6 linked regions of the Canis lupus familiaris genome follow. The protein of the gene in region 1 interacts with the protein of each later gene in a pairwise test. Links are inferred from orthologs where the notes say so. Each region holds a gene or a part of one and is shown in the gene's direction. Other genes may lie near its edges.

What was found.
Region 2: the proteins of C14H1orf35 (region 1) and SDCBP2 interact in binary tests that used the Homo sapiens proteins (3 or more experiments, as listed by UniProt). The two-hybrid records come from large-scale screens. The link is inferred for Canis lupus familiaris from reciprocal best matches to the Homo sapiens genes C1orf35 and SDCBP2.
Region 3: the proteins of C14H1orf35 (region 1) and THAP1 interact in binary tests that used the Homo sapiens proteins (3 or more experiments, as listed by UniProt). The two-hybrid records come from large-scale screens. The link is inferred for Canis lupus familiaris from reciprocal best matches to the Homo sapiens genes C1orf35 and THAP1.
Region 4: the proteins of C14H1orf35 (region 1) and SRRM4 interact in binary tests that used the Homo sapiens proteins (3 or more experiments, as listed by UniProt). The link is inferred for Canis lupus familiaris from reciprocal best matches to the Homo sapiens genes C1orf35 and SRRM4.
Region 5: the proteins of C14H1orf35 (region 1) and DACH1 interact in binary tests that used the Homo sapiens proteins (3 or more experiments, as listed by UniProt). The two-hybrid records come from large-scale screens. The link is inferred for Canis lupus familiaris from reciprocal best matches to the Homo sapiens genes C1orf35 and DACH1.
Region 6: the proteins of C14H1orf35 (region 1) and FXR2 interact in binary tests that used the Homo sapiens proteins (3 or more experiments, as listed by UniProt). The two-hybrid records come from large-scale screens. The link is inferred for Canis lupus familiaris from reciprocal best matches to the Homo sapiens genes C1orf35 and FXR2.

Annotation. Positions count from the first base shown.
Region 1 is NC_049235.1:507,513-512,536, forward strand, and holds C14H1orf35 (multiple myeloma tumor-associated protein 2), read left to right. Parts: upstream 1-1,989; 5' UTR 1,990-2,083; coding exon 2,084-2,177; intron 2,178-2,421; coding exon 2,422-2,572; intron 2,573-2,687; coding exon 2,688-2,733; intron 2,734-2,807; coding exon 2,808-2,890; intron 2,891-2,995; coding exon of another isoform or gene 2,996-3,068; intron 3,069-3,179; coding exon 3,180-3,268; intron 3,269-3,515; coding exon 3,516-3,650; intron 3,651-3,736; coding exon 3,737-4,017; 3' UTR 4,018-4,267; downstream 4,268-5,024. Other genes in the region: MRPL55 (39S ribosomal protein L55, mitochondrial), read left to right, coding at 262-411.
Region 2 is NC_049245.1:20,193,864-20,198,249, forward strand, and holds part of SDCBP2 (syntenin-2), read left to right. Parts: intron 1-2,604; coding exon 2,605-2,763; intron 2,764-3,327; coding exon 3,328-3,503; intron 3,504-3,580; coding exon 3,581-3,752; intron 3,753-4,386.
Region 3 is NC_049237.1:23,673,407-23,678,713, forward strand, and holds the start of THAP1 (THAP domain-containing protein 1), read left to right. Parts: upstream 1-2,036; 5' UTR 2,037-2,712; coding exon 2,713-2,783; exon of another isoform or gene 2,784-2,868; intron 2,869-3,007; exon of another isoform or gene 3,008-3,263; intron 3,264-3,269; exon of another isoform or gene 3,270-3,694; coding exon of another isoform or gene 3,695-3,747; intron 3,748-5,307. UniProt on the Homo sapiens protein: DNA-binding transcription regulator that regulates endothelial cell proliferation and G1/S cell-cycle progression.
Region 4 is NC_049247.1:15,661,422-15,665,928, forward strand, and holds part of SRRM4 (serine/arginine repetitive matrix protein 4), read left to right. Parts: intron 1-599; coding exon 600-803; intron 804-1,543; coding exon 1,544-1,654; intron 1,655-2,245; coding exon 2,246-2,386; intron 2,387-4,030; coding exon 4,031-4,328; 3' UTR 4,329-4,507. UniProt on the Homo sapiens protein: Splicing factor specifically required for neural cell differentiation.
Region 5 is NC_049243.1:25,836,830-25,841,336, reverse strand, and holds part of DACH1 (dachshund homolog 1), read left to right. Parts: intron 1-2,466; coding exon 2,467-2,610; intron 2,611-3,161; coding exon 3,162-3,230; intron 3,231-4,507. UniProt on the Homo sapiens protein: Transcription factor that is involved in regulation of organogenesis. Seems to be a regulator of SIX1, SIX6 and probably SIX5.
Region 6 is NC_049226.1:32,722,776-32,727,282, reverse strand, and holds part of FXR2 (fragile X mental retardation syndrome-related protein 2), read left to right. Parts: intron 1-34; coding exon 35-128; intron 129-526; coding exon 527-598; intron 599-687; coding exon 688-836; intron 837-1,235; coding exon 1,236-1,329; intron 1,330-1,827; coding exon 1,828-1,944; intron 1,945-4,183; coding exon 4,184-4,354; intron 4,355-4,507. UniProt on the Homo sapiens protein: mRNA-binding protein that acts as a regulator of mRNAs translation and/or stability, and which is required for adult hippocampal neurogenesis. Specifically binds to AU-rich elements (AREs) in the 3'-UTR of target mRNAs.

The DNA of each region.
Region 1 (5,024 bases):
TAGGGGGAGAAGCCATGACCTGGGATTGCTGGAGGTGGAGTGCTCACCCCATCTGTCAGACCAGACAGCAGCGGTGAGCTGCGTATGTAACGATGATCAATCTTGAGAAAACAAGTCTGTGTAAAGATGGAGAGCTCTGATGACAGAGAAAATCCAGCAGAACGTAAAAGCCCTAAATACAGAGTGGAGAATGAGGTGAAGTGGAGGCACGGACAAGGTTCTGGGCCCTCCAAGTGAGCTTGTGCATGCCCTTCCCCACAGATGCCCGTGGACCTGGATGCCCTGTCCCCAGAGGAGAGGCGGGCACGGTTCCGGAAACGAGAGTCACAGGTCCAGAAGAAAAAGGAGGAGCCAGAGCTCTATGATGACTTTGACGTGGAGCGGTACAAGCAGTTTTGGACAAAAAAATGACCAGGCCTGGAAGTGTCCTTAAACCGTGTGTTCTCGAAGCTGCCTCCACCTGGCCTTTCCTTCCCGCACGCTCGAGTCTGTTGTGAGCTCTCTGCGACCCAGTGGGCTAGGTGGCTAAGGATTGGGTCAGGCTGTGGTGTTCAGACGAGGTCTGAAGGGAGTGCCCGTGTGGGAGGAGGAAGGAGAGGGCCCTGGAGCCCCTCACTCCCTGACCAGCTGCAGCCTCAGGGGCCAGGGGCCCTCAAGAAGAGAGTGGGAGGAGCAGGGTGTCAGGGATGCTGGTACGGGCTGTCAGTGGACTGGCCCACAAAGGGAGGTGCCTTCAGCTGGGCTTGTGGCCCCTGTGACTACAACAAACCTGTGGTCGGCTGCCATTCTTCTGCTCCAGTGGTGGGTTTCAGCCTGGCCAGGCTTCTGCAAGACCAAAAGGCCAAGTCCCAACATTTCCACTTGTCGCTGGCCTGGCCCAGGCCTGCCTCTTGCCCTGGCCTGGGCTGTCAGGACTCTTGGAAACCTGAGTGAGTGCCCACCGTAGGGCACTGATACAAAAGGTGGGGAAGGTGCCCACGTTCTATGGGAGGGGGCTGTGTCTGGGCTCCTGGCGAAGGGTGCTGCATTAAGCACCCACCTTTGGACTCCTAAGTCCCTGGTGGTCCACTGAGTTTCCTGGCCACGCGCAGGGTCCTGGGAACATCCAACGGCATTGTCTGCCCTTCCCTTGAAGTGGGGTCACAGCAACGATGCAGGGGTCAACAGCAGAGCAGAGGGTGAGCGGGGCAGGGACAAGTGGGACTTGTAGCCACAAGGCAGGGTGGGTGCTGGTGACGGAAATCACTAAGAGGGCCCCCCCCCGCCCCAGGCAGGGGGTTCTGGCAGAAACCACCTACTGAGATTGCTGCTGGTGGGCCTGGCAAGACCTCCACTAACGCACGGGCACCTGCTTAGCTTCTGAAGGGGGCCGGAGGTGGCAGGCTCTTCACCACAGCGGGTGACACGGTGAAGTGGACGGAAGGCCCAGGCCCGTCTGCAGCGCTCTGGTCAGTGGAGGTCCCATCTGCACCAGGTGTTCCTGTGTGTGGGCCCCCGACCCCCGCTCCGCAGGACCTCGCCGCCGCCCACGTGGGGGGCTTCACACACTGTCCATGCCGCTGCTCCCCCGTGTCCAGGGCTCGGAGCTGATCCTGCTTTGCCCAGCACAGCCGCCCCCCGCGGCGCCAGAGGAGCCCGTGCATTGGCGCACCTGCGCCGTCCCGCCTGCCCTCCACGCTGGGGTCTCCAGGGGACGGCCCCGGGAGTTGCAGGCCGTGTCCCGCTTCTCCGGAGCCGAGCCGCCCCCGGTGCCCGCTCCCGGCACTGCGGCCCCACCCGCTCGCCCATCTCCCGGCACAGCCCCAGGACCGTCGCCCGCACAATGTGGCTCCCAACGCCGGCAGGATCCTCGGGACCCGCCTTGGCGCCTACGCCCGCTCCCTTCCCGGGCGGTGCGCCTAGCGCTGGGGGCAGGCGGGGCGGCGGGGCCGGGGAGCAATGCGCAGGCGCTTGCGGCGCTGCCCGGGTATGCGCGAGTGTGACGTCAAGGCGCGCGACGCGGCGGCGGGACCCCGGCGCCGGCGCCGCCCGGGGCGGCCAGGCCAGGGTTGACGGAGGCAGGGGCGGCGGGCGGCCTGGCACCATGTTCGGCTCCAGCCGGGGCGGCGTGCGTGGCGGGCAGGACCAGTTCAGCTGGGAGGACGTGAAGACCGACAAACAGAGAGAGAACTACCTGGGTCAGTGCGGCGCCGGGCCCGGGGGCGGGGGGGGCGGGGGCGGGGGGGCGGGGGAGGACGCCCGAGCTGCCGTGCGCGGTGCCGCAGGTGCGGGAAAGCGGGGTTGCGAGGTTCTCGGTGTGGGCAGCCGGGGGCGCGGGGGCGGGGAAGGAGAGGGCGCGAGGTGCGGGAAAGGGGGGCTGCGGGCGTGGGAAGGCGGGGAGCGGCGACCAGCGGGCCGAGCAGTCGCGCTGCGTCCCCGCAGGCAACTCGCTGATGGCCCCCGTGGGCCGCTGGCAGAAGGGCCGAGACCTCACTTGGTACGCCAAGGGCCGGGCGGACGGCGCGGGACTGAGCCGGGAGGAGGAGCTGGCGGCCGTGCGGCAGGCGGAGCAGGAGGCACTCATGGCGGCGCTGTGAGTGGGCCCCGCGGGGTCGGGGGAGCTCGGGGGGCCCGGGGGCGAGGCGGGGTCCGAGGGGCAAGGCCAGGGACTCCGGCCGCCGCCTGAAGCTCGCCCGCGGCCCCCACAGAGGCTACAAGAACGTGAGGAAGCAGCCCACTGGCCTGAGCAAGGAGGTGAGCGGCGCACGGGGGGCGGGGCGCCCGGAGTCTGTGCGAACCCCCGCCTGAGACCCGCTGGCTCCGCACAGGACTTTGTGGAGGTCTGCAAGCGAGAAGGAGGGGAGCATGAGGAGAAGGGAGTGGACCGGCTGCTGGGCCTAGGGAGCTCCAGGTGCGTGGCTGGGGGGTGGAAGGGGCCCTCCCCAGGTGGACGCACCGCCCCGCCGAGGGAGGCCTGGGCCTTCTCACCGTGGGGTCCTCGCCTGCCTTCCCGCAGCGGCTCTGCAGGCCGAGTGGCACTGTCCCGGGAAGACAAGGAGGCCGCCAAGCTGGGGCTGTCGGTGTTCACGGTAAACCCCCCTCTGCGGGCGGGGCACCCCAGAATCGGGCGGGCGCCGAAACTGGGACGCCCCCCCACAGCCCCCTAGAGTGCCTTCCTTCCTTGCTCCTTCCCTCCCCAGCACCACCGCGTGGAGAGCAGCCGCCCAGGGGCCTCCCCCACCTCTGCTAGGAAGAAGCCTCGGTTTGAGGAGGAGAAGGTGCAGCCTGGGTAAGGGCTGCTCCCACCCCTTGGTCCCAGGCCCACCTGCTGGGCTCCCCCAAGGGGGAGGCAAGGTGCACTCCCACCCCTGCTTTTCCTCCCTGGATGGGGAAGCAGGGCGCCTTCCTACCTCTGCTGCTCCTGGCAGTTTCCTGCCACAACGGGAAGGAAGGACCGCTGTACCCACTGGCCACAGGGAGGGGGGGGTGTGTCTGTGTGGACAGTGCACAGGGGACGCCACCCCACGTCCCTGCAGCCTGGAGAGCCACAGGAAGAGCAGGAAAGAGAAGAAGAAGAAGAAGAAGAGGAAGAAGAAGCACAAGAAAGAGAAGAAGAAAGACAAGGCACACAGGAGCAGGGTGGCTTCTCCACTGTCTCCAGCTCCTGCAAGGTAGGTGTGCTCAGCCTTGCCGGGGCAGAGGGAAGGTCTGGGGAGCAGGGCAGCCTCCCCCTGACCACATGTCCCCATATCCCCAGGCCGGGGCACCACCAGTGCGGCTCTGACTCTGAAGATTCCTTGCCCTGCTCCAAGAGGCGACGCAGCCACCACAGTGACTGAGGCCAGATCACAAGGGGCCCCCATGTCCAGCAGGGGACCTGCCCCGGGAGGACACACTTGCCTGGGAAGGCCCCGAGACACTTCTATTTTTCTTCAACTCACTTTGTACTTAAATAAACTTATTTTAAGGGGAAAGCCTCTCATCCTTGAGGGAAGGTGGCTGTCATGTCCCAGTAAAGTTCCAGCAAGACCAGCCTGAGACCCTGCTGGTAGGGCGGGGAGGGGGGGGGGGGGCGGGCTCTCCCTGGGTTACCATGTCCAACCCCAGGGCACAGACGTGCACCTGGAGCCAGCAGTGTGCCCCACCCCTGGGAGGTGAGCACCTAGTCATTAAACCCTCCTATTACAGCCTGCCTGCAGGGAGGATGAAACCCAGGGTGCACTCATGATTGTGAAACTGGCATCTTTGGCTTTAAGTCATCAAACTAAAAACGATTCTGTCTTCATAACCCTGGCCCTGGTGTTTCAACCTGGTAGTGGTATAAACAATCTTGGGCGGGGGCCAGACTGGGCGCCCCCAGCCAGGAGAAGGAACCAGACCAGCATGCCCAGTCAGGTGGGAGGGATGGTCTCCAGCCAAAGAGCCACTAGGAGCCCTGCCAGGGGTTTCCTACCCCTCAGGAGCAGGCTGGCTAGCAGGGATGGGCGTGGACAAGAGCAGGCCTCGGGCACACCCAGTGTGGTGACCCTGCTGTCCCTCCACGTCCCAGTCCCACAGAATAGACCAGGGGCTGCACTAACAGTCAGCGGGTGGACGATGAGAGGGCGCTGGGTCATATGCACACCTAACACAGGGAGCAGTGAGCCACACCATGTAGGTCCCTAGCCAGTGACATCCTCTGTGCACAGTGGTAAGTGTGGGTCAGTGGCACCCAAGCACTGGAAAGCCATGAAATAGTTAAGAGATTTTATTCTAGTAGCTATAATTACAGTGCTTGTTTGTCGAAATGAAAACTGAAAACAAGTATACAAAACAGTTGATTACTAATCGTGTATTGAAAGCAGTAAGAGGTTCCACGACACCAAATAAACCAGTTCTGAGAACTTCCCCAAGATAAAGTTGAACAGCTCCAGCTTCTTCAGTGTTTATCAAAATACAAAAGAAAACAGTAGAGGTCGTTGTTTTGATGGCAAATCTGACCCTTGCAGGCTGAGGGAGTGAAAGCACATGTAGACCAGGGCTCCCGGGGCTCGGGGCTGAGGTGC
Region 2 (4,386 bases), on another chromosome or scaffold:
TCGTGAAGTGAAGGGAGTGAGGATGAAAACTGCCACAGCCACACACACACACACACACACACACACACACACACACAGCCACTGGCAGATGAGGGTCTGACAGGAGAAAGGCCACCAGGAAGGGGACACGTGGGGCCTGGGGTGTTTCCCCACAATAACCCCCCATAGTCATGCTGTGAAATACAAACTTCGAAGCAAAGAAAGTCCCATGGTGTATACTTCCCTTGTCAGCCTTTGACTGAATTTCTCTTCGTTCCAATAATGAGGACGTGAGTGCATTTCACTGAAATGTTGATACAAATATGACAGGTGGATTCATTTTTATAGCTAAAAGTTTTATTTTTAACTTTTTATTTTTCAATAATCATGAACTCCTGGGAAGCCACAAAGACAGTATAGAGAAGGGCACAGAAAGCTGTACCCTCCAGCGAGTGTTCCTAATGGTTATGCAGGAAGTGGCTGCAGAACCACAGGATAAGGAAAACGGGCATTTTACGTTGGTACAGTGAGCGTCTGTAGTCCTGTGTCACTTTGTCACCTGTATAGATAGACTCATGTAAGTACCAGTGCAACCAAGGCACGAACTGTTTCGTCCCCACAAAGGTCTCCCCCAGGCCGGCCCTTCGTGGTCATGCCCACTCTCTCCCCCTGACCATCCCTAACCCCCTGGCCACCACTAGTCTGTTCTCTGCCTCCATGATTTTGTTTCAGAATGTTATATAAATGGAATCCTACTGCGTGTAGCCTTTTCAGATTGGCTTTTTCCACTCAGCATAATGCCCTTGAAACCTTTCCAGGTTATTCACTGTATTAATAGCTCATCTCATTTTATTTGCTTATTTGTTTGTTTTTATTTCATTTTATTTTAATTCCAGTATAGTTAACTTTCAGTGTTATATTAGTTTTAGGTGTATAATACAGTGATTTAACAATTCCATACATCACCTGCATCCTTAATCCCCATCAATGCCCCCCCCCACCCCCCGCTCCCTTAGTTCATCCCCTTGCATTGCTAAGTAGCAGTCCGTGGTATGGACATCCCAAAGACTTTTGAATCCATTGAGAGTCATTTTAGTTTTTTCCAGTTTGGGGCTGTTACAAAGTAAGTTACTATGGATATTTTTGTATAGTTCTTTTGTACAGACATAAGTTTTCATTTCTCTGGGATAAATGTCCAAGAGTACAGTTGCTAGGTTGTATGATAAATGCATGTTTGAATCTTGAAAAGAAACTGCCAAACTATTTTAAGAGTGGCTCTGCTGCTTTATTTTCTTGCCAGCGACACTCTTCCAGTTTCTTCCCATCTTTGCCAGCTTCTCACTAACGTTCACTGTTATGATAAGTGTGTCATGATGTCTCATCAGGGTCTTAATTTGCATTTCCCTCACGGCTAGTGATGTTCAATGTCCTTCCATGTGCTGTTTACCAGCTATGATTTTTTTCAGTAAAATGCTCTTCGTATGTTTTGTTCATTTTCTCAATGGATAGTTTGTTTTTCTTTTCTTTCTTTTTAAAAAATATTTTATTTATTTATTCATGAGAGACACAGACACAGGCAGAGGGAGCAGGGAGCCTGATGTGGGACTTGATACCAGGACCCTGGGATCACGCCCTGACCCAAAGCAGACGCTCAACCACTGAGCCACCCAGGTGTCCCTCCTTTGTCTTTTCATATAAAGTTTAGATTAACCTTGCCTACATCTACAAGACATCTTGTAAAGATTTGGATAGAAATGGCATTGAATCTTTATGTCAATTTGGGGCAATTGATGGCTTTATTATGTTCTTCTAATTCATGAATAGAAAATTCCTTTCCATTTATTTAAATATTTTTTGATATCTTTAATCAGCCACTTTTTTGTTTTTGTTTTCAGTATGCAAGTCCTACATATGTTTTGTACACCTACTCCTATGTTTTATTTTTGAGTAATTATAGTTGGTAGTGTACTTTTAATTTCAGTTTCCATGTGTATGCTGTTAGTGTATAAAAAGTACAGTTGATTTTTGTGTGTTGATCTTGTATCCTGTGACCTTGCTGAAGTCACTTAGTTTTAAGAGTTTATTTGTAGATTCCTGGGAATATCCTAGTAAATCATCCTATCATCTGCAAATAGGGACCATTTTATTTCTTTTACAGTCTGTATGCCTTTTATTTCCTTTTCTTACTTTATTGCTCTGGGTAGTTATTCCAGTACCACATTTAAGAGTAGTGGTGAGAGTGACATCCTGACTTGTTCTGGGCTTTACGGGGAAAGCACTCGTTTTTATACTTTTTGCTTACATTTTTTTTCAAGACAAAACAAATCAAGTCCTTTTTCCCCCTAATTGCTTGCTATTTGCTGTGAAATTTTATTTTTAATTGGATTTCGAAGGGGTCTTCTCCTGACACCAAAATGAGGGTTTCTTTTCTGTATACCCATTCTCTTTCCCCTCATTTTCCTGGCTGTTTTTCAGGGGGTATAGGCTTTGATGCCTCCTAGTGGCTTCACGGAGCCATGCACCCTAACAGGCCCTGAGAGAGGAGTGTGATCTGGGGATGGGAGAGGGCCCAGGGACCACTGCATCCTTCTTTCCCCATCCTTATGAGACCCCTGGTGTCTGCAGATGGTGGGCTCTGGCCTGTCACTGGGCCAGCTGGTGGCACCGCTGTCTGGAAACAGCCTTGGCACACGGCGAGCAGAGATCAAGCCTGGGGTGCGCGAGATCTACCTGTGCAAAGATGAGCATGGCAAGACGGGGCTACGGCTGAGGGCCATTGACCAGGTAGGGCTGAGGACTGGGCAGGAGAGGAGGGGGCATCTCCCACACGTATTGCCCACCAGCCTGGGAGGGGGGCTGCGGGCCCTGTCCACAGTAAGGAAGGTGCGGAGCAAGCAGGGGAGCCAAGGCTTACCCAGCCTCAAGCGGAGGCTCTTCTTCTCAACCTCCCTCCCCTAAGGCCCCAGGGTCAGTGCTGGGTTCTAGAATGGACCTTCCACTTGTGCCTCCTGGGCTCCTACCATTCGGGGTCTCTCTTCCTCCCTCTCCTCCATCAGAGGGATCTGGCTTCCAGGCAGCTCAGCTGTCTGCAGAAGGTGGAAGCCGGCGGGACCAGTGCCGTCGTAAGAAGCCATGCAGTCCAGGGGCTGGGGCTGCAGCCTCCAGCCAGGGTTGAGATCTTACCCAGCTGCTCCCTGGCTATGTGGCCTGGAGTATTTTGTCCCCAGGAAAATGGAGTGACCGCTGTCCTGCCAGCTCCTAGACGATCAGGAGGCAAACAGCAGCCGGAGGGACCTGGGCTCCGAGTGATGTGATGGGGAGCTGACCACAGGGCCCTGCCTCCTCCAGGGGCTCTTTGTGCAGCTGGTGAAGGCCAACAGCCCCGCGTCTCTTGTGGGGCTGCGCTTTGGGGATCAGATCCTGCAGATTGACGGCCGAGACTGTGCCGGGTGGAGCACGGACCGAGCGCACCGGGTGCTGAAGAGGGCATCGGCAGAGAAGATCGCCATGGTCGTTCGGGACAGGTGAGTGGCCAGGCCCCCGGTGCCTCCCTGTCTGGCCCCAGGCACGTCTAGGCCCGGCTCACGGTCTCTCCCGCCAGGCCGTTCCAGCGCACTGTCACCATGCACAAGGACAGCACGGGCCACGTCGGCTTTGTCATCAAGAAAGGCGCGGTGGTCTCTGTGGTCAGAGGGAGTTCCGCGGCCCGCAACGGGCTCCTCACCAAGCAGTCCGTGTGCGAGGTGAACGGACAGAATGTGGTCGGGCTGAAGGTAGGTGCGCTCGGCCGCGGAGCTCAGGCGCTGAGAGGCGGGCAGGCCGCCGTGCCCCTGAGGCTCGGATCCCCGCGCTCTGGTTGCTGTGGGCTAAGCCGAGGGAGGTGGAGCTCTGAGCTCAGCGCCCAGCACCCGAGCGCGGGGCAGTGCTCAGGGAGCAGGAGGCCGAGGAGAGCGGGGCAGGCGGTGCGTCCAGGCAGGGGGTGCGTCAGGACAGGGCGCCCGGGAGGGGGCTGCTGCTTGCATGGATACCTGCCCCCTCCACGGCACTTCTGTTTGCATAACTGGCTCACATTCCATAATAGGAACATCTTGGAAAATGGCTGTTCAGAGACACACTTCTTCTTTTTTTTTTTTTTTTAGATTTTTAAAAAAGATTTCATTTATTTATTCACGAGAGAGAGAGAGAGGCAGAGACACAGGCAGAGGGAGAAGTAGGCTCCATGCAGGGAGCCTGACGTGGGACCGGGTCTCCAGGATCATGCCCTGGGCTGAAGCAGGCGCTAAACCACGGAGCCACCCAGGGATCCCCCAGAAACACACTTTCTGACCTCTGTTCATCTTTGGAGGGTGTGTGTGTTTTATCCTTAAAAAGCCAGAAGGAGCAAGGGGTCCAGGGTCTAGCGGATGT
Region 3 (5,307 bases), on another chromosome or scaffold:
CCTGCTATCTATACTCAACACAGCAAAGTGATGGTTTTAAAAGACTGGATCATTTCTCTGCGTAAACCATGTTCTCCATCTCAGAGTAAAAGTCAAAGTCCTTACGCTAGCTTACAGGTCCCTACATGACCTCAGCCTGTTTCCTCTGACTTTATTATTTGTCCCCCCAGCTCACTCTGCTCCAGTCACACGGGCCCCTTTACTGTTCTTTGTACAGGCTGGGGACACTGAGCCTCAAGAGTTTTACCTTAGCCATTCCCTCTGCCTGTAAGACTCTTCCCCCAGATATATTTCTAGCTAACTCTTACCCATTCCAAATTTTGGCTCAGTAGTCTCTACTAAGCCTGTCCTATCCTTTGTATTTAAAATTGCAACCTCCTCACCCCCACATAGCCCCTTTCACCTTTTAACATGTCATATGGTTTTATGTTCTTTGTCTGCCCCCTCCAACCTCCACTAGACTATTACCTCCGTGAAGGCAGAAATCTTTGTCTTGTTCATTTATGTATCTCAAGTCCCTAGAACTGTGCATAGAACATAGCAAATGCTGAGTAAATATCTGCTGAATCAGCTGATGAGTCAATTTCAGTGAACTCTTAGTTAAAATATACTTTTCAGTTCACAAGCAGCTATCACACTTTTTTTTAAAGATTTTATTTTATTTGTTCATTAGAGGCAGAGAGAGAGAGAGGCAGAGACATAGGCAGAGAGAGATGCAGGCTCCCCTCAGGAAGCTTGATGGATCTCTGAACTCCAGGATCATGCCCTGAGACAAAAGCAGAGCTTAACTGCTGAGCCATCCAGGCATCCCTATCACATTCTCATCCTTATTGCATGCACAGTAAACCACAGAAGAAATTTCTGTCTATCCCTGGAAATGCTAATAAACTATTATTTTAGTATTTGGTGAAAGGATATGGCTCTGAAATTCCTCAAGTTTTCTGGGCCCAGTTGATTTAACAAACATTTTCTAGATACTTAATGCCAGACACTGCAAGCTGCTGGGGTTACAAGGCTAAGACAAAGTCCTCCTCAACAGGGCCTCAGTCCATGAAGTGGGACAACCATACAGTAACGTATGGTTCATATACAGAGAGGTTAAACGCAAAGTTTTCGTTGGAACAAGAGAGGTGCCTAAGTTGAGAGGCTTAAGAAAAAGAGGATAGAGAAAGCATGTTAGAAAACATAACACCTGAGCCACATCTTGAAGGTGGACAGGTCAGTGAGAGGCATTTCAGCCTAAGGGCAAACAGGCTATTTATGGAAGCCAGGAGAATGCCTGCCCTGTGTGAAACATGATGGTAGGAAAGAGTTAAAGACAAGTGGATGGAGAATACAGTGAAAAGGTAGAAGTAGCCGGTCCTCAAGGGCTTTATGACACTATCGAGTAGAGGCAGCTTTTGAAGATGTGAACAGGTGTATGACAATTACCTTCTGTGGAGGATAGACTGGAGAGGCAAAACGAGACCTCGGACAGTCAGAGGCTGTTGCATGGTTAAGAGAACGCGAGAGGGCCTGATCAAGAACAACGAGGAGAGGAGGGATGGATTTAACAAGTATTTACTTACTTTATAAACTTATCCTGGTCATCAAACAGATGTAGAGAGTGGGAAAGAAATCTAAGGTTTCCGGTTTAAGCAACTGAACACATAATTCACAGAGGATAATCGAAGGCAGAAAAATTTACATAAGAAATAGAAGACCATTAGGAAATCAGAGCGTTTTATTGAACTCAAGCAGCAGGGTGTTAAGGAGGAGGAGGGCGGAGGATGGAACCCTGGGGAACCACGAGGACTGAGGCGGGGGTAGGCAGAAAGAGTACAATAGAGCCGTGGAATTCGTCACCAGCCTGCGCTGCAGACTCGCAGGCCCCGACCTGCAGACGGGAGGGCACGCCGCCGGAGGCAAGCGGACGGACCCACCCGCGCAGCTCGCGATCCCACCCGGCACCTGCGGGGCACTACCGCTACGCCCTCCGGCGGGAGCGAGTGTCCGCTCGCACTGCCACAGTTCAGGCGCCTGCGCCCTCAGAGCCTTGTGACACCTGCAGGGCAGGTAATGAATGGGATGAAGCCTGGCGATGTGGGCAAGGGTCCACAGAGTTTCACAGATCATATTCCATCTGTGGCTGCCCTTTGAGAGAAACGGGAAGAGCTACCCAAAGGCCTCACCCTCATACCTGCCCTCCTCTACGCCACCACACCCAAAGACCCCGCTGCTCTCCACCCCGCATCGTCCCAGATAAACTAACACACGGGGCCAAGCAGGTGGCGGAGTCTAGCCCCGCGCTCACGGTTCCGTCCCCTCCCCTCGCCTCTCCGCTACTCCCAAAACACTTCCTCTCCCTCTTCCGGAAGCTCGGAGGCCCCACCCACTACCGCAACGCCTGGCCTTAGCCAATGGCCTGCTTCCCAAGGAACGTTACCTCTGACCTCGGGGCTCATCAGACAGTGGGACAAACTCCTCGCGAGAGGTGAGGTTGAAGCTGCCTCCGCCATCTTGGAGATGGGAGACGGGCGATGGCTGTGGTCCTTCTGCTAATGCAAACAACAAAACGGGCACAGTAGTCAATGCGGGGGAGCTTATCATCACAGAAACTGTTGACCAAAGCTACAGAAGGAGTGAGGGTGTCAAAGCGCAGCGCAGCGGCATCGATAGCCGCTTCTCCTGCTTGCGGGAGCGGCAGAAGTGAAGTGAGTGGAGGCCGGAAGGATGGTGCAGTCCTGTTCCGCCTACGGCTGCAAGAACCGGTACGATAAGGATAAGCCCGTTTCTTTCCACAAGTAAGTACCCCGCGCGTCTCGCGGGGCTGGCCCAGCTCGGGCTGGGGGCGAGCGGCCGGTTAGGCTCGGGGGCGGGGCCAGCTTGCGTGCGCGCGAGCCCGGATGAGGGGCGGGGTGGGGCAGGGGCGGGGCCAGCGCGTGTGCGCGCGAGCCCTGATAAGTGGGGCGGGGCGGGGCGGGGCGGGGCGGGGCGGGGCGGGGCCAGCGGGTGTGCGCGCGAGCCTCGACGAGGGGCCGGGGCAGGCCGGTCCTCCTCGCGGTCCCTAGTCCCCCGTCCCCCGTCCCCCGTCCGCCGGGCGGCGGGTGTACCCGCCTGGGTCGGAGCTCTCGTGCTGCCGCCTCCGGCTGCGCGTGGCTGCCATGGCCGTTTCTTGCGCTCGAGAGTCGGAATCCACGCTCGGGGTTCGTCCGCCGCCTGCCGTGGACGTGTCGGCGCCCCAGGAGCGGCGTCCGTGGGCGCCGCGCGAGCCTCTGCTCGGGGTAAGAGGGCAGCGAGGGCGTAGTAGCGCCTCCTGAGTCAGTACGGAGCCGAGACAGAGGCTGTGAACGTGACGGAGCCGCTCTTTTCCCAGCCTTGGCGTGCCTGGGAGGCCAGCTTCACAGCAGCTCAGGCTTTCGGGGAGGACGTGTGCACTCAGTGCCTAGGGGCCCACCTCGGGGCACCTCTGGCTGTTGGAGGGAGCCTCTGGGACGGCCAGGACCTCAGTTGGCGCGCAGCGATGGGGTCCCAGGTCCGCACAGCTGGCTCGCCCCCGAGGAAGCCCACAGGTCCCGGGGCCGTGATGGCTTTGGCGGCTAGAGAGGCCTGTGGGAGAAACGACCTCGTGATCATCGGATGTCTGCAAAGTGGGACTCGATGGCATTTTCATTCCGCCAAATAAAGTGTTTACAGACTTTACGTTATTATAAATATGATTATTTACATTATTATTACCAAACCGATGGCAAATTATAGCAATTATACGTAAGTAAATCATTACAAAAGCAAAATTTAAGTATTCCGTCAGTTTTTTTGGTGGGGTCGTGTGTAACAGGGGATGTGGGTGCATTTTATGCTTAGTAGAAGAGGGACCCAGGGAAATGAGTGCCTTACCACGCAGATCTGAGTGTTGATTGATGGACCACCACCACCATCCCCATCCTGCCCTCCACCTGCAGGACGACTGAGAGCACCTAACACTCCAGGATCTACTTCAGTATATCCTGAGATCACTTCTTTATTTGTTGGAATTTCTGAAAGCTGATGAATTGACTTCCAGTTCTTTGAAAGTGTAGGAATAGATCAGAAGACGGTGACACTGTTATGTTACAGCCAGCTCTGCACAACCCCGTTTCTAATCAAAGAATCTAAAAATGTGGAAAACCCTTCATTGGTACTAGAAACTAAGGATGGCGTTCACACATCAGAAATAGTTTCTGCTGGCTGTCAAATGATTGGGTCAAAGGAGGAGCTGATCTGCCTCTCCTTCTTACCTATAAAGAACAATTTTTTGGAAATAGATGGGAATTATTCTCACAGAACTCCATCATGAACAGCCTGATCATTGTAGTGTGTAAGACAGGAGGCCCAAGGGGCTGAATTTTACTGGTGATGGCTACCATCTGTTGTATTTCTGGAGGCCATTTCCAGCAGAGATCTTCTACCACTTTCTACATGGTGGCCCAGTGGCAGCAGCTGTTCTGGGCAAAGAAAAGAACTGTCCCAAAGATTGGTTAGTTCTTCATGATAGCAGAGTCCAGCTCTGGCATACCTTATGTAGAAGAGAAGCTAGAACATGGAGTTGAAGCATCCTTTGGCTTTCCAGTTTCCCCATTTCACTAGATACTTGACTTGGAAAAGTAAAATCACAGTAAATATAAACCCTTTCTAAGCCCACTTTTCTGGGCCAGATGGACATATTCCAGTTGATTTCGAGGTAAAATAAGATCAATAATATTCTTATGCTGGAATTAAAAACAAATCAGAAGACTAAAATAAATTAAAACTTTTATTTTTTTAAATTAAAAAAATTGGGCAGCCCCGGTGGCTCAGTGGTTTAGTGCCGCCTTCAGTCTGGGACGTGATTTGGAGACCTGGGATCGAGTCCCACGTTGGGCTCCCCACATGGAGCCTGCTTCTCGCTCTGCCTGTGTCTCTGCCTCTGTGTCTCTTGTGAATAAGTAAATTAAAATCTTTTTAAAAAATAAATTTAAAAAATTTTAATTTATCTATTCACGAAAGGCAGAGACCTATAGGCAGAGGGGTAAGGGGGCTCCCTGCAGGGAGCCCAATGCAGGACTAGATCCCAAGGACCCCAGGATCACAACCTGAGCTGAAGGCAGATAGATGCTCAACCACTGAGCCACCCAGGTGCCCCAGTAAATAAAAACTTAAAAATTAAAAAACAAATAAGAACTTCCCAAACCTGAGGAGAGACTTGGGCATCCAAGTTCATGAAACTAATCAACCACCCCCTTTCAATTCCAAACATATATAAATAAATGAATACATGAAAATTTAAATTTATCATTATGATTTGACTAT
Region 4 (4,507 bases), on another chromosome or scaffold:
TATGGCCCCTTGTTGATTTTAATCACATCCCTATACTACTGATATTATTTTAATAAACTCACTTTTTTATATAAGGAAACTTACATTACTACCTTACATAGAAAATTTGTAGCACTTGTCCTAAATAGAAAGCATTTGCAAAATACATGATTTATATATGAAAATACATAAAGACAGTGTATTTAATTCTAGTTAGCAACAGTTGCCTTCCCAAGGCTCTGAGCACCATGTCTGGGTGACTGCCAGTATTACAGAGATAGTGGAAAACCCACTACTACCCAACCCATTCTCATTAATGTAACCAGGATTAAAAAAGACTCCAAAGGAAATAAATGTCTATGTGATTTGGTGTTATTTACCATTATGCCCACTGACCTAAAATCCTCTGAAGTGCCCTTGTGGAATGTGTTCCCCTCTGTTCCTATTCCTCTAACATCTGTGCTCTGGAAAGTCTTTCCAGAGGCAGTAAGATGGGAATAGGTGGAAAGGGGTTTCTGAGAGTACCACAGCCTAGGCAAAGGTAGGCAGAGGAGTATCAGCAGATGCCTCCAGATCGGCAGGCAAGCCAGTGCTGACAGGAGTTCTCCCCACATCTGCAGAGGATTTCAGTCGCCATGCCTGGAATGTGCAGAGGTGAAGAAGTCTGGTTTGGTCCCATCCACAGCCCGGAGCTCCCCTATGAGAGGTTGCTCCCGCAGCCCTTCTTATGCCAGCACCCGCTCTTCCAGCCACTCCTCCCGATCCCCAAACCCCAGAGTCTCCCCCAGGTACACCCGAAGCCGATCCACCTCCTCTGGAAAAAGGTGAGTGCAGTTTTGGCCTCTGATCTGCAGAGCTTTCCTCCTTAGGGAGCTAGTTATGGTAACTGGAAATGTCCTTTGGCCCTGGTGGGGGGCGGGGGGGGAGGTCAGACAGATGAGTTTGAATGCCCACTGTACCCATTCCTAGCTGGTGGCTCAGATAACCTCTCTGAGCCTCAGTTTCCTTATCTGCAAAATGAAAACATTCACCTCTCAGTGTCTTTGTTTCCCAATCTGTGGAATGAGATTGATAATAGTACCTCGCCCTACAATGTGTTGAGGATTCAATGAGATAATGCACACAAAGCATTAATTCAATGAAATACCTAACAGCCTAACAGTCATAGCTAACCTTTCCTGTGTGCTGCCTATGTGAGGTATGTAAGTGATTTACTCATTGAATTTACAACTGTATAGGGAAAGTATGATTATTTATCCCCATTTTATAGATGAGAAAACAGAGGCTCAGAGAGGTGAGATCACCTGTCCAAAGTCACATAACTAGTAAGTGGCCTTAGATGGTAAGAACTCAGTAAGGAGGAGTTACCAATATTATTATTAGTCGCCCAAAAGAGAGGGAATTTCATTCTCAGGAAAGGGCCAGATTCCTGGGTCTGGCGTCCAGAAAGTCAAAGTCGCCCTCGGGGGACCAGCCGCATACAACCCTACCCCTGCGGGACGACCCCGGCACGGCCCCGGCGAAGCCCAGCAGGCCCTCGGGGACTGTTTACCGTGTCCCGCAGGTCCTACTCGCGCTCTTCCAGCTACTCCTCCAAGTCTGGCAAGAGGAGCCCGCCGAGCAGAAGCTCGCGATCGCGCCGCAGCCCCAGCTACTCGCGGTACAGCCCCGGCAGGTACAGCCCCGCCCCCAAGCCCGGGCTCCGCCTTCGCGGCCCCTCCCCCCGGCCTCTGCGCAGCGTCACCCAAGCCCCGCCCCAGCTCCCCCTTTGTCCAGCCTTGAGGGAGTAGGGATGGGGAGACCACCCAGCATCCTCGTAGTTTCTTTGGTCTCGGCTGGAGTGGAGACGTGTAACATATCCTGGGGTTCTAACGGCCCCCCTGGAAAGTACAGCCAGCCACACCCCAGAATTCGCATCCCCGGCCCTCAGCCTCTTCACGCACCTAATATTACCCTTGATCCCCGTTATTCAGAGCCGCAGTTGTTACGCATGCACCAGGGCCCTCTGGACCGCCACATCCTAACCCCGCAGCACCTAGGCCCCTGTAACGCCCACCCTCGAAGGCCGACACCCGCGCCCACGCCTGGTCTCCCCACAATACTGAACCAGAGCCCTGTCCTACTCCCCACCGCGTTCCCTGGGGCCCCGGGAGGAACCCAGCACCTGCTGCAATGAGGTGCGGGGCGCAGGGAAGAGGAAGTGAGTGCCCCTGGCTCATGCGGAAAAGCCAGCCCCGGCTCCCCAGTGACCCCCGCACCCCTTCAGGGAGCGGGACCCCAAGTACAATGAGAAGGACTCGCAGCAGCGGGAGCGCGAGCGAGCACGTCGGAGACGGCGGTCCTACTCGCCCATGCGCAAGCGCCGGAGAGACTCCCCGAGCCACCTGGAGGCGCGGAGGATAACCAGGTGAGGCCAGGAGGGCCGGGGTGCCCACCTTCACCCTCACTCCCACCCCTCCCACCCGTCGGGGCCTCGGGATCTCCCCTGCACCCCGTGGAGCTGGATTTCAGGATTGTGGGAGCTCAGGCAATTTGCGAGGCCTGACAGGAGAGGTCAGGGCCTCGGGGCGGGGCTAGGATGGGTGCCCCGGGACAGGGGTGGGGACAGCCTGAGGAGGGGGTGTGGCCGGGGTCTGCGGAGAGGGCTGCGAGGTCGCATCCCGGGCGAAGGGGGCAAAGCAGCGGGACCGGTCTTTTCCTGGGGGTGGAGCCGGCCAGCGAAGACGGATCACGGTCAGACCACATGCCAGGCTTTAATAGGCCCTGATCATAGCTGGCACCAAGTGTGGAGAGGGCAAGAAGGATCTTTAGGTGCCAAAGGAATTTAGAGGGAGCCTCGGTGGGCCAGGGGGAGAGCACTGGATCTGGAGTGGAACCCGGCTGTGCCACTTTCCTGGTAAGCTGGAGAAGTCTCTTCACCTCCCAGATTCTCAGTTCTCATCCATGAATATTTCCTTCAGGAGTGTGTATCATGAAGATGAAAAAAAAGGGGGGGCAAAGAGATGGGAACACACTTTGTAAACTGAAATGCAAAACACTAGAACCCTCGCTGTGTCATTGTTACAGATTGAATGGTCAGATTAGGTGGATCAGGTTGCCTCTAACAGTTAAGGTCTTAGATAAGAAAAGCCCTACAAAAAAAACCTGAGGTCTGAATGGACACATAGTTTTAGGCCTTGAAAGCAGGAAGAATGGCTGAGTGCTGTCCTGAAATTGGCTCCGGACAATCAGCTCCTCCTGGCCCTCCAAGGGTCAGCCATTCCATCCAGGGACTCACAGGAATGGAGCTTCGATGTCCTGGCTGCCCTGGGCCTCCTCCCTAGAGATGACCTGGAGGAGGGAAAAGCACTTGTGACTCCAAACAATAAGAATGGGGGCAATGGCATCACCTTCTCGGATATCCCATAGAACAGCACGGCACACACGAAGGGAGTCCTACTCCCACAGCATGGACCACAGGTGCCATTGGGGTGGACTTAGAAGAAGGCTGAGATAAACTGGCATTTCTAAAAGGCTCTCGTCTCCTGAGTCAACCTCAGATAATCCATCCTGATGAGCCATTCAGTGTTTCCCAAACTTTAGGCATCCAGCGGCATCCGAGCACTTTGCACTTACCTGTTTAGTAAGCTACTGTTGTTGACCTTTCTTTACACAGATATGTTCTTTCTTAGAGGTCCATACATTTAATGCAAAAGGAATGCACCACAGTATACCATAGCAAATGGAAGATCAGCCTCTCTTACCATAAATAGAAGGTTCCAGTAAAAGTAAAAAGAGATAAACAAAACGTGCAATTAAAGTCTAGATGTAGATTCGGTTGCCAGCTGGAGACTCCCAGCCTCAGGCTTGCTTGGCTCTCAAGTGAGAGCTGTCACTTCTCGAGACACCAGCACTAGATGGTCTCAGGACAGCAGGAGGAGCGCGCAAAAGGGTGTTTTCCCCAAGAGCCTGGGATGGAGGAAGGAGTCCGCTTCCCCTGGGGACGGCGGGCGCGCTCGGGGGGAGGCTGGGCGGTCTGGTCCGTCCAGCGCGCTCCCTCTGGTCTCCGCAGTGCCCGGAAACGCCCCATCCCCTACTACCGGCCCAGCCCCTCATCATCCAGCAGCCTCAGCAGCACCTCCTCCTGGTACAGCAGCAGCAGCAGCCGCTCTGCCAGCCGCAGCTACACCCGGAGCCGCAGCCGGAGCCGCAGCCGCAGCCGCAGCCGCAGCCGGAGCCGCAGCCGCAGCCGCAGCCGGAGCAGGACCCGCGCTAGCAGCAGCTCCGGCTCCCGCAGCCCCAGCCTGGGCTCCCGGAGCCGGAGCCGGAGCTACAGCTCCGCAGACAGCTACTCCAGCACGAGGCGCTAAACACGGGCCCTCCTTGAGCCAGCTGCCTGCAGGGGGCCCCTTTCACTCTGCCAGCCTCCCCCACCCCTCCCTGCCCACCCTGCCTTCTCCTCGGTGACAGACATTGAGGGCTCCTGGACCCTGTCTTTCCTGCTCTCCTGGGGAGGAGGAGGAGGGTACCGGGGGCCTTCAGCCTCTAT
Region 5 (4,507 bases), on another chromosome or scaffold:
TAAAAACAATGATATCACTAATCTATGAATTGCTTCTTCTAACACATTTTACAGTGCATGTATAGATAATTTTGAAGGTCATTCATATTTGTGAGTTTATATTATGTGTGAGATTAAGAGTATTTCCTTTACAACCAACTTTCCCTTTGCCTCAACAATAAGATTCTCGTAAGTACTCCAGGGGGGAGCACCTACTCCCTCATTTAATAAGTATCCAATATAAATATCCCAGGTGTTCTTTTATATGTTTGATACAGTCATTTGAAAATCATTGTTTCTGCTTTGTTTTTCAAACCAGTAGTAGGTTTTTTCATTAGTTACTATGAGGCAACAGCTAGTGGGTTCCTGGGATGAGGCTGATTTAGAAAAGCCATCACCACCAATATATGGCATATAATGTGGTTTCACATAGATTAAGGCAGTATAGTAATCAAAACAAGATAAACACTGATAATGGGATGTATTTTGTGTGAATAATGAAGATTTGTCCAAGAGTTTGTTAAATAGAATTCAATGAGATAGCCATGTCTTGATTCTTGATTTTGTTCTCACCTGGAGAAATTTTGTTTTTGTTTTTTGACAAGACATAAAAGTAGACCCTTGAATTCCTGAAGTAATCTTTTGGTTACTTGAGAGAACTTTAGAATTTTATTGGTTCAAATCTTTTGGAGGACTTACATTAATTTTTTTTTTAACCACTAGAGGGCAAAACACTTCACAGATCACATCATGAACTTCCCATTTAATTAATTGTGAACAATAAATTAAAGGTAATAGCTATCAATAATTATCTATTATAAATGTATCCATTGAAGCAGTGTATTACCCTGAAGAGAGAATATGGCAATACCAGGTTCAATTGCGGAGCAGGAAACAGTAAGCAGTCAATGGCAAGGGACTAGGTATTGAGTTTTAGTGCCATGGAAGTACAACAATTCAAATAAGGAATTCAGAAATTACTGTTTCTTTTCAAAGAGACTTATAACCAATCATCTTTGGAAAGGGATAGAGTAGGCAAATGATGTTGTTGAGATAAGCATACGATTTTCATATTAAGTAAAGGAAATTAGCATTTATTCAAAACCAGTTTTGTTTTGTTACAAGACTGTAACCAATGTATGTTTTGATAAAAAACAGCCTCTGCTAATATATGTTACCGGCAACAATAAACTCAACAAGTTAATGGTCTGCCACCTTAATGGTATTAATAATTATAAAAATGGGGCATATGAAAGTCAGAAACTGAAACAAATTCTTACTTGAATCTTTATTACTTTGATTTATATTTTGACTAAATACTGTATTAAATAAAAATGTTGTAGTAAGAAATCAAGTAGTAAACTCTGAATGACTATTCCCTATGACTAATTCTAAAAGGATTTTCTCATACCGATTCTGTCACAGTCACATTCACATCTACAGTGTTTATCAACCAGAAGAAAAAAATTCCAAAAAGAAACATTTGCATGCTCTCCATAGACTGGCTGCTTACCTTATATAAATTGTAAAAACTAAAATAATTATCATACTGAAAGTATGGTCAACCATACATTTTGTGAACATTTGTTACTAGTTATTGGTTACATACTATATACAAATATTTAAATTGTCCAGTAGGAGAAAATGTATCATAATTAACTTTTTGTGTCATAAGCTACTTTTTTAAATATAAATACCACATCATTGTCAGCAATAGCACATTATTATCATCAGTGAGGTTTTATAGTCCACCAGATTGAAGCAGAATAAAACATGATTTTCTTGAAATATGTTATAGTGCATATAAAATTGCTTTGAAGAAATTATCGATATCTCTGAGCAAATTACAATAGCTTCATCACCCCCAAAAGACTACTTCTATGTTGATAATTAAGAGTATTTAGCTCCTCATATACAAAAATATTTATTGCCTTTTTTAAAATTTCAAGAAAAAAATTCTTAAGACCTGGACCAATGTAACTGTTTTGCAAAACAACTACAGGGGAAATACTCCATTTGCTATTCAAAATTGGTGCTTCATAAAGAGATAGAAGGCATGCTTATAAAGGCTGGCATGATTCTAACTATTATGTACCATTCTGATTCAAGGGCAGAGACTAACCCACAAAATTCATTTAATCAGGCTTCCTTTATCAGTGCATATAAATATTTACTAAAATTAGTTTCCCCTTAAATCTGTCTCTACATATGACAATCAAAGGCATCTTTGTAATATAACAGTGGTTGAAGGCTAAATAAAAATTAGCCTCCTTGGATATTTCACTGGGATTTATTTTAGATAAGGGTGGGATTTTTTTTTTTTTTTGGAACTTCTGCATAGGTAGACTCAGTCCAGCAGGAAAAAAAAAATATATGTTTATATATATTTTTTTATATAAATATATATATATAAAATCATAGATCATTGATAAGTTAGGGCATTGCAAAAAACTTTTAAAAATGTAATATACAAACACTCTTTTCTAGCCATAGTTCAAAAGAGGCTAAAGAAGGAGAAGAAGGCAAAGAGAAAATTGCAGGAAGCACTTGAATTTGAGACAAAACGGCGTGAGCAAGCAGAACAAACGCTGAAACAGGCAGCTTCGACAGATAGTCTCAGAGTCTTAAATGGTAAGAGGGTGCATCTTCATGCACGGCTCACTGACATTAACTTTTTAGCACTCAAAAGACAATGTAAACCTGTGTTTGTGGTTTCACATATATTCGTATATCTGTTGATTCATTACATTGTGTTTGTGGTTTTACATACATCTTTATCCCTAGTGATTCTTTAAACTGTAAGCCTGGTGGGAAGTGATCCCGCATGTTGGGGAATTGCTTGACTTCCCAGGTGCTTTCACCTGGCCTGTTGTACTTCACTCCAGTATCTGGGACCTGACACGGCTTTCCTGCATAACTGGGTCTGTCTGTACTGAAAGAGGATAAAATATTAATCTGAGAACTTCCCAGCTCCATCCCGTGTTAGGAACAATTTGGCGTTACTTATTTATCTATTCAAATATTTTGATGATTCTTATGGTTCTGGTCTTTGTTCAACCTTTAAAAGATGACAAAGATTTATGTAATTTTAATTCAGCTCCAAAGTAACAGGTTGCTCTTTTTTTTAAAGGACAAAAGCATCAAATGAAATATGTGTCCCTCTTACCTTTCTGTGCTTTTAGACTCTCTGACCCCAGAGATAGAAGCTGACCGCAGTGGCAGCAGAACAGATGCTGAAAGGACAATACAAGGTAGGAATTTGCAAAAGGCTATAAATCTAGATCTTGCTATATGAGTTTTTCCTCAGCTTTAGCCTGCTATTCAAGCATGTAGCCTACCATCTGGGCCACATCAAAACAAGTTCAAACAAGGTCAAGTTCATCTTGCTTGTTTATATGAGTGAATTCATTTTGTGCTGATAGATTTTCTTTAAATTAACAGGTCATTTCTGTTTATACAATGCAATTAAAAAGGAATAATTAATTTTAAACAATGTATGATTTAATCTTGGACACAGTAAATGTGCTTTATTGAATGCTTGAAGCCCAATCTCACGCAGGAAGGGTTTATAAGTTCTCCACCGTCTGAATAAAAGCATGGGTTAATCAAATCGGTAGTTCTTAAATTCGAAAATTTCTCCTTCTCATTTTTGTGACAGATACTGCAAGGTACATGCAAAATAGACTGGTTCAATGTTAACAATAAATAAGATTGTTTAGTCCTCTGTGGATTTTCTGAATGTTCTGTATGCCATTATATACATTTTAATAACACAAATCTGCTGAGCAAAATCATATATAGAATACTAAAGGGAGTTGTATTAAACACTCAGAAGAGCTAAATATGTATATTGCCTAGACCATACTATTAGGAAAGAACAAAATCTGAAGGTAACATTTATGGTCTAACATCTATTCTAGGCAATAAACTCAGTCTAACAACATGAATACTAAACAGTAAAAAGAGCATTTGTTTTCTATTTTAAATGAAGATGGTTCTTCAAAGGGAAGCCTAAAATGATTAACTGCTATAATCCTCCCAATTGCTTTTATTTTGCATTTTAAGCTCAATCATTTTGGGGATATTGTTTGACATTAATTGTGCTACTTAATCAGCTCCAAAAGTGTCATCTTTGGTTTAGTGTAAAGGAAACATACTTTTGGAAAGTATCAGATATGCAATGAGTAAAAATTGGAAACTTGCAGAAACATTCCTGAAGAATGTTTTTGCCTATATTTATTTTACCTAAAAACATGATAATTATTTTTTAAATCCTGAGGCTTGAACCATATGTTATTATGAGATATCTCCTTGTATATACAAGATTAGTGTAATTGTAGATGTAGAAAAGGCTTCTTCTTTTTAGAGCATTATGGATATCAGGAAAAGTATGTGTGGATGTACATGTATAATCTTATTAAAATCATAAGATTTCTATTGTGTCTCTTTTTTAAAAAGATTTTATTTATTCATGAGAGACATAGAAAGAGAGAGGCAGAGACATAGGCAGAGGGAGAAGCAGGCTCCA
Region 6 (4,507 bases), on another chromosome or scaffold:
CCAAATAGCTTTCATGTCACGGTTTCCCTTGCAGCTGGCAGAGCGAGAGACAGATTCCTTTTGGGGATGTCCGGCTCCCACCTCCAGCTGACTATAATAAAGAGATCACGGAGGGGGACGAGGTGGAGGTAAGAGCCAGGGCTCCACCCCTTCTAAATGTCACTTTTTCCAGGATTCTGTGGTCTCCCTTGCCCTGAGACCAGTATCCCAGGCTCTCCTCTGGTTGGTTCACTCTCCTCCCTCTGAAACCCAGCCCAGTAGGCTGTGGAAGAGAGAAGTGCACCAGCTCCCTTTCCCTGTTGTGATCAAACTCAGGGAGCTTCCCAGTTTCAGGGGAGTTACTTTCCCGTTATGGTGACAGCACCCTCTGGGCTTTTAATTAGCTCCTTCCTCGTGTCTCCTTTGTTGTGGTATAATGTGCTTCCCAGGGTCTGAAAGTTGCGTTCATGATGTTTTCATTTTTTAATTTTTTTTCGTTCGTGATGTTTTTAGCTGGGCCTCAGTATCTCTTTATTTTCGGCTCCAGGTTTATTCTCGAGCCAATGAGCAGGAACCTTGCGGCTGGTGGCTGGCCCGGGTGCGGATGATGAAGGGAGATGTGAGTGATGGGAAGCACGGACCATAGTCACAGAAAAGGGGGGGGACAGACGCTCAGGTCATCCACACTTGTTTCTTCCTTTCTGCCAGTTCTACGTCATCGAATACGCTGCCTGTGATGCCACTTACAATGAGATTGTCACCCTGGAACGGCTCCGGCCAGTTAATCCCAATCCCCTTGCAACCAAAGGCAGCTTCTTCAAGGTTACCATGGCTGTGCCTGAGGATCTGAGAGAGGCGTGAGTCAGGGACATCGGGATGGGGGCTCCGTTGACAGTCCTCCTGTTGGCCCACCTTTCTCCCAGGCCCCTCTTATTTTTGTTTATTTGTTTTTAAAGATTTATTTATTTATTTATGGGGTGGGGAGAGAGAGAGGCAGAGACACAGGCAGAGGGAGGAGCAGGCTCCATGCCGGGAGCCCGATGTGGGACTTGATCCCGGGGCTCCAGGACTGTGCCCTGGGCCAAAGGCAGGTGCCAAACCACTGAGCCACCCAGGGATCCCTCCCAGGCCCTTCTTGTACTGTCAGTCTTCCTCGTCCTCCCCCATCCTTCCTCATCTCATTTTTGTCATCCCCATCTCTCTGAACCTCTGAACTGCACACTGTGCCCACTGAGCACTATTCTCTTCCTTGGCAGCTGCTCCAATGAAAATGTCCATAAAGAGTTCAAGAAAGCGTTGGGAGCGAACTGCATCTTTCTCAACATCACAAATAGTGAGCTCTTCATTCTGGTGAGTTATTTGACCTGACTTAAAACGTAAACCCTCTCAGTGATTTTTTTTTTTTCCTCCCCTTTTAACTCCTTTGCAGAAAGGAAGGGGCTCAGATGTGCTTCTGTTTATTTGTCAAAGAAGACTTTTTGTATGGCTCCTGACCCCTGCGGGCCCAGGCCATGTTTCCTGAGTCTTCCCTCACGTATGACCTTAAGTTTTTTTTTTTTTTTAAGCCTGGCCATCCTTTTGCAGTCTGGACCTTCCCTTGCATATTTGGGCTCTGAAAAAATAGACTATACGATTCTCACCCCTCCCTCTGCCTAAAATCACTTCTCTTAGGTACCCTGATAATAGTAGGCCCTTGTGAAACTGATAGTGATTTTTCTCTTCTCTCATTTCATTTCTTAACTCCTGTCCTTTTCCAGAGACTGAGGCATCCTGGTTCCCAGTCCTGGGTCTTCCCCGTTGTGTATTCAAAGTCAGTTTCAATGATTTTGTCCATTGGTTTCTTCCCAGTCAACTACAGAAGCCCCTGTGAAGCGGGCGTCTCTACTGGGTGACATGCATTTTCGAAGCCTGCGCACCAAACTCCTGCTCATGTCCCGCAATGAGGAGGCTACCAAGCACCTGGAAGTAAGTTTAGGCCTCACTTCATACTGCTGAATGGTATTGTTATCATCCTGCCTTCCCATCCCATCCTCCCCCCATGCTCTTGTGTTTACAGAACAAAAAGACTAAGGTCTTTCTGGGCCATTAAACCTGGGTCTGCTATTTTTTCCCAGACTCCTCCAGATGGCAGAGCTTCATCATGTTATAATAGTACAGTTGTTTTCATTTTTTTCTTAACCATGGGACCCTTTGATCAAGTGAAGTTTTACTTGAAAACACAATGCCTAAAACAGATCAGAGAAGCTCTGCCTAAGTAGAAGAAGGGAGTGTGACCCGGACCTCCACTGGCCTCCCCCAGATCACCTCTGGGAATCAAACGGCTTTGCAGGGTCTATTTGAGAACCATTTGTATTCTGGAAGGACCACTGTCAAATATTGACCTTTGGCAAATCATTTGATTTCACTGAGCTTTATCTGTGTGACAATGAGGTGTTTAGACTAAAATATTTCAACAAGGTCTTTTTGAGTTCTGATATCTTAGGATGGTCAGATTCCCTTTGCTTAGGTGCCATACCATCCTATACAAATAGTGTGTGTGTGCACATCCATTCCGTTTATCAATAGAACTGATCTTTTTGGTAGGCTTTTCTCCGAGCCTGTGCACATTGTGAATCATAGTGGTCTGTCACTTCTCCAGGGATGCTACTCAGGGCACTGGCAGAACTTCACCATTACCCCCAGATGATACAAATTATGTCTGCTCAAGTTCCCAACGAGCAGATTCCCTGGTGACAAAAGGTAGACTTCAACTCTTCTTAGGACCTGGTTGTATTGATCAGTGTGGTAAAGAGTGCCAGATATGGGGCGCCTGGGTGGCTCAGTTGGTTGAGTGTCCAACTCTTGATTTTGGCTCAGGTCACGATCTCAGGGTTGTGAGATCGAGCCCTGAGTTGGGACTCCGTGCTCAGCACAGAGCCTGCTCAAGATTCTTTCTTTTCCTTTCCGCCCTCACTTTTTCTTTCTCTCAAATAAATAGTCTTTGAAAAAGATAGTTAAGTTGGCCGTACATGTAGTCTTGTTTTTGAGAGATCTTGTTTTTCTTCTTTTTTTCTGTTTTGTTTATTAAATTATCTTGAAATAATTGTCTGCATAAAGGAAAAACATAGTATATTAGGTACACTTGTACCCGTCAGGCAGTTTAAGAATAAAACTCTTGGCAAACTTCTAGAGAACATTTGTAAATCATCGTAGAGCCTCTCCTTTCCTCCCTAATGCAGTTATTTTGAATACCCAGCGTGGTCCCTTTTTGTCCATCCCCTTCTTGCCTGAGGTAAGTCCTTGCCATAATACAGTCCCACCCATCTTGGAAGTAGGATGTAGTGGACTGGGATCAGGAATGACCCCTTTCAAATAGCTTTCCTGTTTGGTGCTTCTACCTAGGACTTCCTCTTCCAGAACCTTCCATGTCTTTCTGCCCTTGTGCCCAGGTATCTGAGGACTGATGGAGAGAGGAAGTGGTAGTGTGGTTTCCATAGCTCTTTATATGCTTTCTCAGCCTCTTGCTTTCTACTCAGTTTTTTGGGTTTTATTTTGGGAGTTGATATTAGTTTGGTCAGAGTAATTGTTCCTTACTCTTACATTTACCTTGTGAAAGAGCCTTTCACACCAGCCTTAATTAATCCTTCTGATAGTCTGGGAGTGGGATGAGTCAGGTGGAACAGTTCAGCAGATGACAGAACAGAGACACTGAGTGTATTGTGTTTTTTTTTTTTTTTTTTTTTTTTAAAGATTTTACTTATTTATTCATGAGAGACGCAGAGAGAGAACCAGAGACACAGGCTGGGGGAGAAGCAGGCTCCCTGCAGGGAGCCCCATGTGGGACTTAATGCTAGGACCCCAGAATCACGCCCTGAGTTGAAGGCTCAACCGCTAAGCCACCCAGGTGCCCCGAGGGTGTGTTGTGTTTAGCGTCACATAACCAGATAGTGTCAGAGCCAAATCCTGAACTGTGGTGGCTCCCAGCCCAAACCCTGCCCTCGTTTACCTCCCTCACCCCCACCCCAAGCCATTGGTGTTCGCCAGGTAGGAGTGGAATGGCTGGTTCCTGAATTCTCCATACAGGTCCCAGGGGTCTGTGGATCCAAGGTGGTTCTGGCTTGCTTTCACATATTTTTGTCTGCTTAAGTCCTGCAGAGTGTTAGGGACCCGGGACAGGTGTCTGGGGTTCCGCTGCCACAAACCCCACTGTGCCTTTTCATTTCAGACAAGTAAGCAGTTGGCGGCGGCCTTCCAGGAGGAGTTCACGGTGCGAGAGGACCTGATGGGACTGGCAATTGGGACTCATGGTGCCAACATCCAGCAGGCCCGAAAAGTACCTGGGGTTACTGCCATTGAGTTGGGTGAAGAGACCTGCACTTTCCGCATCTATGGGGAGGTCAGCAAAAGACAGCTGCTCTTTAGGTCCCTTGGGGGTCGAGAGAGGAGAGTGTGTGATGAAAAAGAAATCTGAATCCTGTGGATCTCCCTCCTTGACTTTGGTGGCAGTGCACTTTCCCAAAGGCAGAGAGTGGCAGGAAAATGAGTGTCT